Linked DNA regions of Drosophila melanogaster. The protein of the gene in region 1 interacts with the protein of each later gene in a pairwise test. Each region holds a gene or a part of one and is shown in the gene's direction. Other genes may lie near its edges.

Region 1 (3,196 bases):
AAGCGAACAAAGCAGCCAACGAGGACACAACAAGAACAAACAAGTGAAAATCATTCAGGGAAAACTGCCGTCTACCAACTCCATCTCGAAAGGAAATCCGCGTACGCTGGGGAGCGCAGAGAACTCTACGCCAAATAAAACAAATAAGAAAGTTATCGTATTGATGTTTGGACTAAACGATACCTAGTGCTTGGAACGAAGAGTTTCGGCTAAATTAGTTATACAGTAAAACATCTCAGCAAATATGCTGTGTACGATTTTGTCACAAACTTAAAACTGTTATGATTACCGGCGGCTTCTTTTCGCTCAATACTGCCCTTTATATTTTACTGTATAGCAACCAATAACTCAAATTACACCGATCCCCCTTCAATGCACTCCTGAGCTGCACAGATGCTACGTAAAAGCACAAAAACAAAAAGTAATCGTAAACAAAATGCCGGAAAAGGCAAAAAACATGGCGACAAAGACGGTGGCGACTATGGCGATGACTATGACTCCAAACCACGTGCTCCATATGCTGAACATGAGGCGAATGCGAATGCGAATGCGAAGGGGATCCTGGGTATACATACATATATGTATATATGGCCGAGATCGTGGGCACGAGTGGTGGAGATGCGGAGATGTGGAGATGAGAGCGGCCCGACGTCGCCGTGATAATGACTTTTTGTCTCTGCTCGAATGTCACTTGATGTTTGTGGGCCCTTCGCTTCCTGGCTACACTCGGAAAATTGTTGCACCCAAAGATGCAATAGAAATATACATGTATTTTTGCAACGCAAAATCTAAAAGTTACAAAATAAGAGGCGCACTTTAACTTGCAAATCAAGATACTTTAGTGGGTATTTTAATTTATTGAAGACACTATCAACTCGATCAGCCTTTCTTTAGTTGCTGTGTTTCCTGCTCTTTGTTGCTTTTCTGGCTGTTGCCTTTGTTGTTGCAGTTTTCGTTTTTATGCCTCGAGGTCATTCAAGTTCAACCCGCCACAGTCGCCATCTGATTAATTGGCCATGCTGTTGAAGCACACCGGCAAGAAGGCCAAAAAGCAAGGATCGAAGCAGGCTGAAAATTCATGTAGTTGGCATTGCCTTTTACTGTCACAAATAGCTGGGACTTTCGTTCCCCTACCTAGCTAATAACGATATAGGCCAGCCGTTGAGTCAGTAACAAAATTTTTCTATACTTTTACATTTGGTTTCCCAAAAAAAAAAAAAAAATCACAAAAAAAAACGACAAAAAAATTAAACATGGCCGACATCTTCACGACACTGCCGAAACGTCGGTTGGTACCCAACCTACTTAAGTCCATTATAATGGTCCTGGAGCATACTAGCCGACCCATGACTGACACAGAGCTGAACATCTTCCTGGGCAGCCAGTACCAACGTAACGATCCGGAATTCTTTGCCCAAGTGCAAATCAATCTGCACGATGGCATCGAAAGCGCCATTCTGAGGCGCCAGGGAAACCAGATTTCGCTGCTCGCTTGGATCCTCACCAAACCGATGAACCTTTGAAAACCGCCAAACCCACACTTCAGATAAGAAGAATAATCCTTAACAGAACAGTGTATCCTTTTGTTTTATTTGGTTATTATTTGGTAGGGAAGTTAACAAATTATCATGTTCCATGGGGCTTTTTGTACTGTGCAACGGCGGCTAAAGCGTTTGGACACATATATACATCTCGGTCTTAAAGTATGCACTTTAATTATATACGTAAAGAGGGCCTTGCCAATTGTTGAACATCCGGGTAATCGACGCAGTAGCAGCTGTAACAGGGTCGCAATCCGTATCCTGCAAAGTCAGATATTAGTCGAAACTGTGCTTTACCAACGTTAAACGTTACATTTGGCACCGAATCCCACGCCCGATTGGCCTTCTGGTGGCAGACGCGTTTTGTGGCAAATATTTGTGAATGTTTGCATTGAATCGCCAAATATGCAATTATATCATAAATTAAGCGGTGAAAATCAAACATTCTACGGAGTGATGATAATGTGAAAATTTCGAGGATCGAAGCAGTCAGGAAATTCATGTAGTTGGCTTGCCTTTTTGCTGTCACACGTATCTGGGGCTTTCGTTCCCGAGCTCATAACGACTCAGGCTGCCCGGCGAGTCGGTCGCAAAATTTGTCTACACATTTGGTTTCCAAAAAAGGAATATAAAAAAGTCAACAAAAAAATGTAAAAAATTTTACTACCATGCCCGTCACCTACAGGACTCGCACACTGCCGCAACAGCGGAAGTTGGTCCCCAACCTACTGAGGTCCATACTACGCGTCCTGGAGGAGACGCGCCGACCCATGAGTGACAAAGAGTTGAACTTCGTCCTGGGCGTCCAGTACCGACGCAACGATCCGGAGTTCTATCGCCAAGTGCAAGTCAACCTGCGCGATGGCGTCGAATACGGCATTCTGAAACGCCAGGGAAACCAGTTTTCGCTGCGATCCCGACGCCTTGGTGAACTGATGTCTACTCTTGGATCCTCGCCAAACCGCTAAACTTTGGGAAACCGCCAAGCCTACAGATATTAAGAATACCCCGAAACAGAGCGTACACGAACAGAATATAACAAAAGCTCCTGGAAATTAATTAGAGTCCTTAACAGAATAGAGAATCCTGTTGTTTTATTTGGTCGGGAAGTTAACAAATTATCATGTCCCATGGGTCTTTTTGTTCTGATTTAATTGCCTTAATGTGCAGGTGCACCAATAATTCACATTTGGCACCGAATTATTCACGCCCGATTGGCCCTCTGGTGGCAGACGCGTTCTGTGGCAAATATTTGTGGTTATCTAAATGAAATGCGTGGCATTGCAGGCCAACCACAGAGGGGTGCATATTTGCATTGCACCGCCAAATATGCAATTAAATCATAAATTAAGCGGTGAAAATCAAACATTCTACGGTGCGATGGTAATGTGAAAATTTGAAGTTGATCACCGTGTGGGTGGTGGTGGGGTAGGGGGTTGTGTGCTGCCAACTTTTCACAAGCTCACTTTTCCCCTGTGCCCGATTCTCTTCGGTCCCCTATGCAAAGTGACGATATGAAGTTAAAACCAAATGAACTTGCCGCGAAATGGATGTTTTAAAGCGGAACCAATCTAGTACGATTTATGAAAGCAATCAAGGTACATCTTTTTCAAATGAAATTTGTATAGCCAAAAGAACATCCACTAGTAGTAAGT
Region 2 (4,080 bases), on another chromosome or scaffold:
TAGTTCCATTTAAAATAAGCAAAGCAAACTAACAAAATTCGTTTATGAACGCCATGCTGCCTGCAGCTCAAGGAAAGTTCAACCAAGGTGCAAAATAATTTGTTGCAATCAGCTTAGCCTGGCCAGGATTCCGAGGATGCGATGCCCTTCGCCCGATGCCCGATGCCCGACCAACCAAAAATGGTTAGTGAGTGCCATGCCCTGCCATGGTTGCGTTTCTGGGGCCGGGCAAGTTTTCAATTTAAGTTGAATTATTATGACCTTAATTAACACGTCGTTTCATCATCAAATGCCGCACTACATCTTATGCTTTTGTTGCAGATATTTCGGCATGGCGCCGTTGCTTCAGTTTCAGGAGCAGGTGGAAACGTAGGAGTTCCAGGCTGCCAGGTTGCCTGGCTCGTGGATGAGGATGTTGAGCTCCTGATTCGATTTTCTGCAGACATGCACTTTTGCCAGGAAGGAGCTGAAGCAGGAGCTTTAATCCCTGCGCCAAGTAACTGTTGCTCCGGTTGGTCGGGCTGCGCCAAACCATTCCATTCTGCTGGGCTCTACTAATTTTGGTTTTAATTAAATTCAAACTATGTTGACGCTCCCGGCACTGACGACCTCCGACGAGCGGCAATCACGTGGGTGATGGCCATGGTCCCCATGTTCCTCCAAATGATCCTGATGATGCTGATGATGATGGGGCTGCTCCATTACTTATGTAGCTACATTTTATGCACCGCCTAATTGAATGACCGAAATGTAAATTGAAAATGCCCGAATAGCTTAAATGGTTGTGCACTTGAAGAGTCCTTGATTAGTTGATCTTGATTAGTTCCCAACTATCGATTTCCATCTCATTTGGATTAATACCTAACTATCTTGCATATTCCATTCCTGCTAATGATAATGACGTGAAATATATATACATACCAATTATTTTGCACAGTGCAGGCATACACTCGTACAAATGTGGAAATTGGCCAGCCAGAGCCGTCATCATCAGATGCCTGGCTGCCTTACACTATTTGCGTTATGATTTCTTTTTAATTTCCCAGCGGTATTTAGGGAAAAAATTTAATAATATCAAATATGAGAGCAGCGAGTGGTGGATGTCCTGTGGAGACTGGACAAGTGCATGTGCCGTGTGTCGTGTGTGTTTGTATTTGTGGGCAAACATTCAACAGCGCACAACAATGCGATCTCCCGCTTTTCCCGCTTATCCTCTGCGGCTTTCATTTGGCGGATGTGTGTGTGCGTTGTTGTGTGTGTGTGTGTGTGTCTGGACTTCCGCTTGGCTGAATTTGTTTACACTTTTTTTTCGCCCGCCGCCACTGGCCCACTCATAATTTCATTTTGAAATGTTTGCCTAAGCGACAATTTCACTCTTTTTTTTCACTTTTTTCTGTTGTTTTTCACAGCCGGACATATGGCACTAAGCCTGGCCCACATTATTAAAACCAGCGACAAAAGACAAGCGACTCTCGGATAGACCAGAAACTGGGTCCACGGTCCATTTAACAGACTCCAGGAGGCGATGGCGATGGCGATGGCGATGGCAATGGCTGAACCTGAACCCTTGGCGGCACAGCACTCAGCACGTGATTTGCATACACTTAGGCCAGGCTGGCGGCACCCAGTCCAAGCTTTTGGCCCACACTTAATTACATGCCAAATGAAAAGTTGGCGGAAGCAAACAAAAAATTTTGGGGAAACCAAAAATATATAAACAGGAAAAGAGCAGGAATTAAATGTGCGTTAAATTGCCAATAAACATGGCCTGCATCTCAATGGGCAAAGTAAGGCGAAAGGGGTGACTAAAACAGCAATAACACGAGGGTTTAAAAATGTAGCTTAAAAAAAAAGAATAATAAATTGCTTAATATTTTCTAGTACATCTAGTTAGTTCCAGCACTTTAGTGAAAAGCGGGCCTTGCCTTTTGTGCTGGGAGTTTTGGGAAACTGATAGAGCTACTTTTCATTCCCACAACGGCAGTCACAGCGAAAACGCACACGTCCAAATTTTATACTTGAACAAAACCAAATCACTTCAAGAAATATTTTTTTTATTTTTCTTTTGATTATCGTGTCGAAACATAAATGGAAACTGTGCGAAATCGAAACCCTCCGCGGATGAAGTACACCGCTCCACCGAAGATGGAATCGGATTTAAACTTCACCGAGAAGGAGAAGAAAACTCTTACCGAACTGAAGCAGCTCTATTTGGAGACCATTAACCTGGATGTGGCTCTGCAGCGCGACATTTACAATATCGAGAAGAAGTACGAGGATAAGCACAATATCATATTTGATAAGCGCAAGAAGATTCTAGAGTAAGTCCATTAATGGTGTTTGGTTAAACAAGATCTCAATTCCCCCAAAAATCCCATCGGTGCAGTGAGTTTAGAAAGCAAAACCACGGCGACGTGGAAACCAATCAGAGCGTGCCCAACTTTTGGCTGAGGGTTCTCAAAGCATCGTACACCGAGTTCATCAGCAAGAGGGATGAGAAAATATTAGAGGTATGTTATGGATAGATCCGATTTGAAGGATATTTAAATTTTAATTGAAATTTTTCCCGCGCAGTGCTTAAGCGACATCCGTTCTCGGCTGTACAACGAACCCGTGGTGAAGTTTGATATCGAATTCCACTTCGATCCCAATGATTACTTTACCAACACGGTGCTGACCAAGACATATTTCCTCAACTGCCTGCCGGATCCAGACGATCCGCTCGCATATGATGGCGCCGAGATCTACAAGTGCGAAGGCTGCGTCATCGACTGGAAGCAGACCAAGGACCAGACCAAAACCGGTAAGCCATCTGGGAGCATCAAATTTCACAGATGTTAGTTGAATTCACTCATTGACCAGAAAATCAAGAGCCGTCGTTCTTTGAGTTCTTCTCGCCGCCGCTTTTGCCAGAAGATACCCTTGACCCCAACTACTGTGACGTCAATGTAAGATTGAATATCAGCGATCTGCGATCCTTTCACATGCATCTCCTCCCACAGGCTATGCTGCAAAACGATTTTGAGGTGGGCTTCTATCTAAAGGAGCGCGTGATTCCCAAGGCGGTGATCTTCTTCACCGGCGAGATTGCCGATTGTCAGAGCTCCAGCGGATCGGAGACCGAGTCGGAAGATACCGAGGACGAGTCGGATGCCGAAGAGGAGGATGGCGTCGACAAGTAAACATTTTACACCGCTTATATACAGTTTACATACATTTTTAACTCGAGTCACCGAACTATTGGCCTGTCCTTACCCACTACATACCAACCAAATAAACATTTCATTATACATATTTACCAAAAGGATCTCGCGCGCTCTTTTTAATGCCTAGCTAAAGGAATTGAATTGTGGTTTTGATTTATACAGTGCGTTTAGCCTGGCGTGTATATATTACAAGGACTCGAATAGTCAAACGTAATACTAGATGGCTGAGCTACAGCACTCGCTTGTAGCCAGCGTTGTGGATCCATCGGCTTGGCCATGTCGTCTTTTTTCTTAAAAAAAAATAAAATAATCCAGCACGGCCCACTTCGACGGAATCTTTACAAACAATATTCTAAGGAGCCACCACCTCCTGTGGCGGTGGCGATTTCGGTGGCTGCTCGTCGTCGGCGCGCGGCGGTGGCTGCAGCATCACCACCACCGTGTCATCCTCTTCCTGTGTCTCCAGCTCCGGAAGTCTTTCAAACTCCTCCAAGTGATTGGCGACCACTTCGCATTTCGGTTTGGAGATCTTGAAGCGCCGAATTGCCGGAAGCGTAATGCTGGTGCCACTAACATCGATATACACCAGATTCGGAGAGCACTGCACCAGGTGCTCCAGGGTATGATTTGTGATGAGATGGTAGTTTCGCAACGACAGTCGCTCCAGTTTATTGTCTGGCGAGCGATTGATGTTCCGGATCCAGACAACGTCCGGTTGCACCGGTCGATCAGCTCGGCCAAAGCTATACATCGCCCGATCGGTGACATAGTATTGAGGTGTTGTCTGACAGGAAGGCGGACGTGGGCGCACTCGTCGAGCATAGTCGCGATCCAGTGGCTCGAGCATGTTCCAAAACATCGGATGCTGAACAAC

Evidence for each region.
Region 2: the proteins of CG15577 (region 1) and mil interact in a two-hybrid assay, tested with the Drosophila melanogaster proteins (one large-scale study listed by BioGRID).

Annotation. Positions count from the first base shown.
Region 1 is NC_004354.4:4,275,920-4,279,115, reverse strand, and holds CG15577 (uncharacterized protein), read left to right. Parts: upstream 1-2,115; 5' UTR 2,116-2,209; coding exon 2,210-2,509; 3' UTR 2,510-2,623; downstream 2,624-3,196. Other genes in the region: CG15578 (uncharacterized protein), read left to right, coding at 1,254-1,523.
Region 2 is NT_033777.3:27,910,480-27,914,559, forward strand, and holds mil (milkah), read left to right. Parts: upstream 1-1,967; 5' UTR 1,968-2,088; coding exon 2,089-2,321; intron 2,322-2,386; coding exon 2,387-2,510; intron 2,511-2,574; coding exon 2,575-2,803; intron 2,804-2,862; coding exon 2,863-2,948; intron 2,949-3,002; coding exon 3,003-3,182; 3' UTR 3,183-3,306; downstream 3,307-4,080. Other genes in the region: CG5003 (uncharacterized protein), read right to left, coding at 3,559-4,080.